Linked DNA regions of Caenorhabditis elegans. The protein of the gene in region 1 purifies or fractionates together with the protein of each later gene. This does not show direct contact. Each region holds a gene or a part of one and is shown on either strand. Other genes may lie near its edges. The genes, in order: F54D5.4 and R03H10.2.

Region 1 (3,934 bases):
CTCTCACAGTTAGCCTAGACTTTGTACCTTCTACAAGTTAATTCAGTTGACACCGAAAAATATGACGTCATATGGAAGAGGTTTTCATGACGTCATGATTTATCTGAAGCGCCAAATTTCCGCATTTTCATAAATAAAACAAAAAGAGCTACTGTCTAACATTAACCTCATATTGGCAATACTTACAAAATCGAATATTTCCATCGTTATGTCCAGGTTTTTTCTCGAAAATGTATATTGAGAAGCTTCTCAAAACTGGCTCAAACTGCACATTGCGACTTTGAGTCAGTTTTTCAGCAACTTCTTGAAATTTTCAATTAAAATTTGAACTATTCTCAGAACTTCTCAATAACTCATTAGAAATTACGAAAAAATTCGTACACGACGATGAGAAAAGGGAAAATTGCAACGTGGCAAAGTGTGAGCAATGCGGAGACAGTTTTTGACAGAACTTAAAATTTAGACAGATTGGTTTTTTTTAATATTAAATTGTCAAGTTTCTCCTAATTTTTTCATGCTTAAATCAAAAATTTGAACGAATATTATATTTATTCTCTAAATTATCGATAAGTTTGTCCAAACTACCATAGTTTAGGACATATCAAGTTTTGCCAGACGAATAGTAAAGATATCAGTGTCAGAAACAGAGTCGTAACTGCAGAAGTTCATGTCCTGAAAGATATTTCAAATTCAATGAGATCTAGGCATATTTCATACCGGAGTATAATCATCAATAGCGAATTCATTGAATTGAATGCAAGTGATCGCCCATCCTGGACGATTGAGGTTGAGCACCAAGGTGTTGACAATGTTCTGAAAAAATTGAATGTAAGCCAATTTGGGGATCTGATCTGATTTGAGATCTTTCCAATTTAAGATTGAACTTAATGTTTGACATGATAAGAATTGATTAATATTCTGAGTTCTGAGAAAAAGACTAGAGGTAAGGCCCCACAGGAAGGCCTTATAAGGTTAAGTGTGTGAAATATTGATTATTGGTCAAACCGTAAGCTAAGCTATATATTGGTCTGAATTTTTTGAGGTTGCAGGAAATATTATGATTTGGAGAATCAGGATTTCAAAGTTTCCAGAATTTCGAAGCTGAAGTCAAATCTCAAACCTTGCAATTGCTTCTCGTAGTTTTCTGAAGAGCATTCTTGACGTCTTGTCTCAAAACTGGATCTACACAGGACTTTGCATTTGGATCCTCGTCTAAACAAAATTCTATTGAAATTTCATTTTTAACTTCTAGAACCTCTTTGTCTAGCAAGTTGATGCAAAGCAATTACTTCTTTAATCTCTCGTGATCTCTCAATTCTTGTGCCATTATTTCCAGACATATCAACTTTGCAATTTTGAAGAGCAGTTCCAGTATTCAAGCATCCTTCAAAGCAATAGTATTTGGTGTTGAGTCTAGTTCCTCCATATGCGAAATCAGAGACACCTTCGGCAAGGGAACTGATCCAATAACCAGTGTCGTCAGTACAAACTGGAATTTAAAAGATTCGAATTTGAGAGGAGCTAAGCCCTAACCATGTGGAAGTTCTGAACCTTTTTATGACAAATTCATGGTAACAATTTGCGACCTAAACATGTTTTGGCTAAACTTAAATGACAAAATGAGTTTATTAATTCTTAAATTCAAGAAAAGAAACTCACGATTTCCAGTAGCGTATCCGACTGCAAAGATCAGCAAAGCAGAAACGATTTGGTTCATTCTACAAAATAAGATAATACTGTATTTTTCCCGGAAACACTTCCAAAAACGGAAGAATTTAACCTTATAAGAAAATAATTCTAACAACGGGTTATATTCCGAAAAATTGACAATATTGGCTATGGTGGGCGCTAGGGGCCCTAGTCACCCCCGGAACATCTAGTAGATGTAACGGTGCATTCAAAGTTGGAAGAATACCTTTAAATGGCAGATTAAGGAAGTAAAACATTAAATAAATAAAGTGCCCGAAAAATATAATAAAGTGTTCACAAGGTTGAAAAAAAATCTTCTGTATATACAAAGGAAATACTATTTCAACCTATTTCGCATTGATAAACTAGGTTTTTTTACAAACTGATATACATTTTTATATGGAAACCTAACGATGATTTCATTATTCTTATCTAAGTGGCAATTGAAGTTTGGCTGATTAAATGACATTTGAAAGAGGTAAGGGTTTGAGTTGGTGCAAAAAATCAAAAACATCATCTATATTTTTTGAAATATTGTTTAAAAAATGGTCTTATTTTTTTTTGGCAATTGATTGCTCCAGCAAAAAAAACGTGGAATACCGTGATGGATAAAGAATTGGAACATCAGATGCCTGTCGAGCACTTGGATCAGGCTGTTGAGCCAGAACGTATTGTAGAGGTCAGATCTATCAATAAGCGTGGATGTTTCTAGTACTGTCAAAACTTCAATCAAATTGCCGAATACTTTCAATTGTTGCCTTTTCAATACAGGAGTTAGCCATTATTAATTGAATCAATTTTTTTTTTTTAGCATCTCAATGGGATACCTCTGAAGTCACCCTTTCCATCTTCTTCTTCTCACACCTCAAAAGCAAACAAATACCATCTGTGAATTGTGTCTTTTCCTGTGTGAACGACTACCTTCAATTAGTCAAATCGGACGACATACCGTATACACCTGTTGAGTAGAATAAACGGTAGCCGCTAAAGAGAGTGAGCCCTTCCGCGCGGACTAACAACAGCTGCTCATCGGAAAAATCTCTCAGCGATTTCATTTTTCATTCACATAAGTTATTGTTTTGTGAGGAAAGTTTATTTTATTGTTGTTTTTTGTTGTTTTTTTTTGCATGAAAATTGAATTCATAGAATACCCAAATTTCCTAATGAAACACTAAAATTTCCTAGATTTTTGGCAATATTTAAATAAAGTTTTGGTAAATTACCAAATTATCAAAATATTGGTATCTTTTTTGAATAGTTTCGAGTGCAACAAAGGTTAAACCAAATTAAGATATAAACCTTGTTTAAACTTCTTTGAACTGTGGTAGGCAAAAACGAAGTCTATTAAAAAGTTCAATTTTTAACAATTAATTTTTCTTGTTGAAGAGATTAATTGTGTTATTTTGTGATTTTAGAACTATAAAAGTGGTTTTAAGATCTTTAGATAACAAAAATCAATATTGCTACTTACCAATAACTAATGCTAACTTGGTACATAGATAATATCTTGCTCAACTACACACTCTAATTCTACTACGTGGTTCAGTTATACCTCCCGGCTACCGACTACTGCTCCGTTGCAATCACCACCCTTTGTTCTGGACAGTTCAAAGGATCAATGCCGAACGTTTATTTGAATTGCCTTCAGCGGCGGTTATTTTTCTGTTTGCTCGTACTTTTCTGTCAGTGTGTACTGATTTTTTTCAAAAAAAAAAAGATGCCAAAATTGGTAGTTTGACCGGTTTTTGAGTGATATACTTTGGGCAGCTTTGCAATTTTTCAAACGTTTTCTACAAAAGTTATAGTTTAGTCTCATTTCACTAACTATTTATTTTATTAATTTTCTGACAGAAAATATCTTCTAAAGTTCAAATTTCTTAAAATTTTAAACAAATTTTCAGGCTACAGTACACGCGTTCAAGGCGTGGTGGGGCCCACGAAATATTGTCTTGTCTAATTGGCCAATATTCAAAATTTAATTTAAAAACCATTTTCTTCGAATGTTTTTTCCTCAAATAAGTTCTGACGGAAAACATATTATATTTGTTCATGAATTCCAGATTCTTTAGCATCTAGTTACGTTACTGTAAAATCTCATGTGTTTGTATTCTAGAGAGGTCAACAGATTCCTCCTGCTTATTTTCAAACTCGGATTAATTTGCATTTGACATCTATCATGCTTCTCATGCTTCTCATGCCCATTATACCCTTAATGTCATATCCGTCTCCTCCCGAGGCGCGCGTT
Region 2 (5,203 bases), 7.4 Mb from region 1:
ACTTTGTGCATTATCCCTTAAAAATTTGGCTGAAAATTTTCAAAATTTGTTCAAAAAGGTCTGTAAGCCACTACGTGACTCTTTTTTAAAACCGAAAAATCAGATGGATAAAAAATCGAGCCAAGCGGAACAGGATTTCAAGTTTTTCAGACTGAAAATAAGTCAAGTGAATCTTAAAATGTTTTGGAATATTTCTTTTCTTCCTCCTGTCCAGTCAAGAGAATCTTCTGGGGTATGAAAATTTCAAACACCAGCCATTAATTTTCAAAGTTCAAGTAAACGAGATTCTCATGAAATTAGAGAAAATTATAGGGCAAAACTGCGCACAAATTGGCTCGGGCTTTTGCAGGAAACCCGATTTTTTCTGGAATAAAAAGTTTCAATTTGATCTTTCAGCCGGCAATTATGTTGGTCAAAACAGAGTAATTTGGAAATTGTAGGCTTTGAAATTTTGGAAGGTTTGACGAGAATTCAGAAAAAAAGGTATCAAAAACTACAAATTCGGAAGAAAATGAGGCCGAGTTCTTGGGCTTAGAACGTTGGGCAAACCCTTGACGTTTAGGCTTAGGCTTAGAATTATGCATAGGCTTGGGATTTAGGCTCAGTCTTAGGCTTGGGCATATGTTTAGGCTTGAGTTGAGGCTTAGGCTTAGTCTTAGGCTTACGCTGAAGCTCAAACTTAGGCCTTTAAACTAGGGCCTTTAGATTTAGTCTCAGGCTTCTTTCTTCACGGTTACTATTAGGCTTAAGCTTGGTTCAAGACTTTTGGCATACACCTCATCCAAAGCTGAGCTTTGATTTTTTTCAAAAAAACGTTTTCCCATTTCTAGAAACATCAAAAGTTCTGCTCCCTTACAGTACCCCTTCTCAAGCAAGCTTTGCTCGAGAAACCTCGTGGTACCCTTTTCCCCTCCAAAAAATCTTGCTGATTAATTAGCTCCTATGACTCCTCTCTATTCATCTTCTTCTGACTTCTTCTTGTTCACCCGTCTCTCGCCTCATGACCATGCTCGGTTGGATGGATAACGCGGGGCGGAGCCAATTATCACCAGAGCACACGGGTGCCTATATAAGCAAGAGCAAGAGAACACACTGATAATACTCTAATCTCTTGAGTTTTTCAAATTCTTCAATTGCTCTAATTTCTAAATTCTCTACAAAATGTTCCACATCAATCAAGACATTCTCACCAACGTCGATGCTCACCGCTCCCCAGCAGTCAAGGCTGCAATCCAGAGGACTATCGAGGAGAAGCGACGTGGGTTCCGCAGATGTGTATCTGCATTTTATTAAGCTTCTTGGAAAGCTCCTCTATGAGCCCTAACTGTTCTAAATATCTGTACAAAAATCTACACAAGCCGCCTTCACGGGTCTCTCCACATTCGAACTACTATTTTTTTCCGGTTTTGTTTTTTAAATGTTATTTTGTTGTTTTTTCTTCATTGTTTTTTGAATTGTTGTAGACTCTAGAAACCCTTACTTTCTTTGTATATATTGAACCAAAATTGACATTAAAGCTTCCAAAAAAAGTAATAAATTACATTTTTATATATCAAAAGTGTCTTGTTTTTTCTAGGGATTTTCAGGGTTTTCAGATAATTTCAGATGCTTAAAAGTGAACAACAAGATGAAAAATTCATAACAAAGAAGCGAGAGTACCGAAAAGTTTCAGATTTTTTCAGATTTCAGAAATTTTAGGAACAGGACTGGCTAGACTAGGGCTAGACTTATGCGTTGGCCATAGGCTTATGGTCAGGTTTAGGTCTATAGCCATGTTTGGGCCTAGGACTAGATTTAGGCCCAAGACTAGGCATTAACCTAGGACTAAGGGCTAGGCTTAAGGCTAGCTCTAGGTTTAGGCTTTGAGCTAGGCCATCAGGATTCACAACTTCGGTTAGTAGATGTTAAGCATTTCAAGGTTGCAAGAGCTGGCACTTAAGCTTCTAACCTAAGTATGGTCTTCAGATATGTATTTAGGCTTAGACACCTGCTTATGCCTAGTTCTAGGCTCAGGAGTAGGCCTAAACCGAGTCTCAGGTTTAGGACTACCACTAAGCTAGCTTTTTCTAAACTATATTTTTCACTACGAAAAGGAGAAAATCCTAGTTTGTAGTTAACATATTTTTCCGACACAGACTCACAGATTCAAAGATTCAATTATTTCTCTAATAGACCATATCACTATTCGAACCCAACTTTTCTGACTTCCTCTTCACTTTTTGATCTAACAAAAACTTTTGATCTATCTAACTAGCACCTATTCATAATGTATTTACAGCTGCAGAGGGTGTTTATTAAGAATAACCGAGTAATCAGGTCATAGATTCTTTTGAGTTCCCGAAACATTTTGTGATTCAGTCAGATTTGGTTCTAAAATTGAGTTATGAGTCAGGAAGTATTTTGGGAATCCGAAACGTTTGGGCTTATACCTTCAGGCTAAGGCTTGGGCTTTTTTGCTTAGGACCCTAGGCCAAGGCCCTTGGGATTAAGTCTTTCGACTTAATCCCAAGGGCTTTTCGACACATCCCATCCAGGCTATCAGGCGTAGGCCTTCAAATGTAGGCCTTCAAGTTGAGTCTTTCAGGCTCAGCTCTTTGGCTTAATATCTGTAGACTCATGCTTCAAAAATTCACTCTTCAATTTTGTCTTTTCGAAATTTCGTTTTGCAGTTTTCACAAGGTTTCGTGCATTTTTGTTATTTATTTATTTGTATACCTAGTATCTCATTAGTAATAATCTTTTTCCAGTTAAACCAAAAAAAAAATTTATAATCTTCCCGGAACCCCCTTCCCAGCTTATTTTAATCCTATTAATAATTCGGTTTAAAGCTCAGTGTACCGGAAAGTTCCAATCCCAAAAAAGTTTGAAAATAAGCACACAACATATTTCTTTTTGCAAAAATGTGAAGCAGTATTCATGTGCATATAATCTTCTTTTTTTTCCTTTTTCGAAACAAACTTTTTCTCATATCCGGTTCACTAAAGATAGCAGATGGATTCCGGCCAAGTGTGACCGCGGTCGGATTTTGAACTTAAATTTTTTGGGGAAAATTTGAAAAACTAACCGCCACTGCCAATGCCAGTGCCATAACCAAAAACATTCCGACAGATTCTCTCCAAGTCTGTGCGCCTTTAAACGTGACTTTTGGGTTATTCGACACTGTCCGAATCGGTGGAGCAGGGGGTAGTTGAGGAGGCGTTTTTGGCTCCGAATCGAAATCGAAATCCATTTCTGCAGATAATTTTGAAAATTAACTGTAAATACTTTTAGCAAAGTTGGAATAAAAACTTAAGGAACAAAAGACAATGTGAAAATAAAAAAGAAAAAAACAATTTTTTTTCTAAAGAAAAATGTTGCAAACGTTGTTTGGAAATTTTTTTATTCAATATCGAAATTTCCAATTCCCGAAATTTTACATTAAAATCTATAAGCCTAGAAGTTTACAAGCTTAAATAAAATGCGTCATGAAGTTGTTAAAAAACTATAGTCTTTGCAACAAAAAAAACATTAAAAATTTAGAGAACAAGCCTAAGTCTAAGCCTAGCCTAAGCCTAACTCTAAGCCGAAGCCGAAGCCGAAGCCTAAGCTTAAGCCTAATCCTAAGCCTAAGGATAAGCCTAAGCCTAAGCGTAAGCCTAAGCGTAAGCCTAAGCGTAAGCCTAAGCGTAAGCGTAAGCCTAAGCCTAAGCCTAAGCCTAAGCTTCACCATAAGCCTAAGTCTAAGCCTAAGCCTAAGTTCAAGCCGAAGCCTAAGCCTAAACCCAAGCCTAAACCCAAGCCTAAGCTTAAACCTAAGCCTAAGCCCAAGCCAAATCCATTCCTGAACTGTCCAGCTAATAAAAAGTATGTGTTAACAGCTTCATAAATCCAACAACCGACTAGTGAAAATGTGGTAATCTATCTTCCGGAGAGAATCTACTTCAGGTTTCCAACGTCAAACGCATATTAGTATATACTAATACGATAATAGGAAAACGAACGGAATGGAAGGGAAGAAGAAGACAGGTGGTAGTAGTGGAGAAGAAGCATCAGGAAAAGAGAAGAATATGACAAAACGGGAGACAGGCTTCTGGTACTAACCGACAGAAAGAAGAGAGAGAGAGAAAGAGACCACCTGCAGGGAATATACAGTCAAAATCTACTTATCGCACTTTTATGGGTGGACATATGTGTGTTCGGAAATGCATCGCTGGTTTGTTGTGTGAGGCATTCCGAAAAAGGAACATGTAAGGTTTTTGAGGGAGAGAAATGAGTCAACACTTAACTTTTGTGAGATGCGTTTAGAAGACGAAAAGGGAAGGTAATGAAGGACCCGAGACAAGTAAGGTCACTAGGAATAAGGTGGAGGGGTACACCGGAAAACTGAAACATAGAAAATAGAAAATTGCCTTAACCCAAAAAATAGAAAAAAAGTTTCACAAAAATCTCTGAAATTTTTGAATTTAGAAAAACTCAAGTATTAAACAACTCCACCATCTTGTAAATATATTACTCAGACGCAAAATTGCAAAATTTTAATTAATTTTGCAATTTTCCGCCAAAAATGTGATACCCGGCCTCGATACGACTAATGTTAGTTAAATGCCAAAAAGTGTGCGTCTTTAAAGAGTACTGTAATTTATCTTTTTGGAATTTTCATCAATTTTCAGTTTTGTGCACTTATTTATTTTTTTGAAAAAAATGTGAGAAATCTATGTAAATTAAATAGAAAAAAACACTGCAGAATTTATTTAGGGTAAAATTATAGTACTCTGTAAAGACGCATAGTTTTCCGAATTTGAGAAAATTTGTCGTTTATTGTTTTTTTCTCAAAAATAGCAAACTTAACGTCCGGATAATGTTTTTTCGTCATATTTGAATTATTATTTTTTTTTTAAATTCTTAAACAAAATTGGTATGTAAAATACAAATAATGTTTGAAAAAGTCAACAATTAAAAAGAAAATTCAGAAATTTTTGGCTTTCCGCTAAAACACCCTAAAATGTTACACCAATATTATAGAAAATCGATAGCTTTTATAAATTTTTAATATAAAATGTCTTCTTCTTACCTAATTTAACAAAAACATTAATGCAAATTCGCTCCGCCGACAATAAAAGATTTCAAATTTCACACGAAAAAAAAAATCAATAAACACACAAAAGTATGCAAAATCGAAAACAAACGAAGATAAAAGTCTGCGACCTTCGTAAGTATAATTAAT

The links.
Region 2: the proteins of F54D5.4 (region 1) and R03H10.2 fractionate together in Caenorhabditis elegans (co-fractionation; one large-scale study listed by BioGRID). This does not show direct contact.

The regions. Positions count from the first base shown.
Region 1 is NC_003280.10:11,567,602-11,571,535, reverse strand, and holds F54D5.4 (DUF19 domain-containing protein), read right to left. Parts: upstream 1,719-3,934; 5' UTR 1,718-1,718; coding exon 1,660-1,717; intron 1,490-1,659; coding exon 1,256-1,489; intron 1,213-1,255; coding exon 1,121-1,212; intron 814-1,120; coding exon 718-813; intron 673-717; coding exon 592-672; 3' UTR 532-591; downstream 1-531. Other genes in the region: F54D5.23 (Ovule protein), read left to right, coding at 2,294-2,368, 2,501-2,581.
Region 2 is NC_003280.10:4,153,801-4,159,003, reverse strand, and holds the start of R03H10.2 (uncharacterized protein), read right to left. Parts: upstream 3,232-5,203; 5' UTR 3,230-3,231; coding exon 3,065-3,229; intron 1-3,064.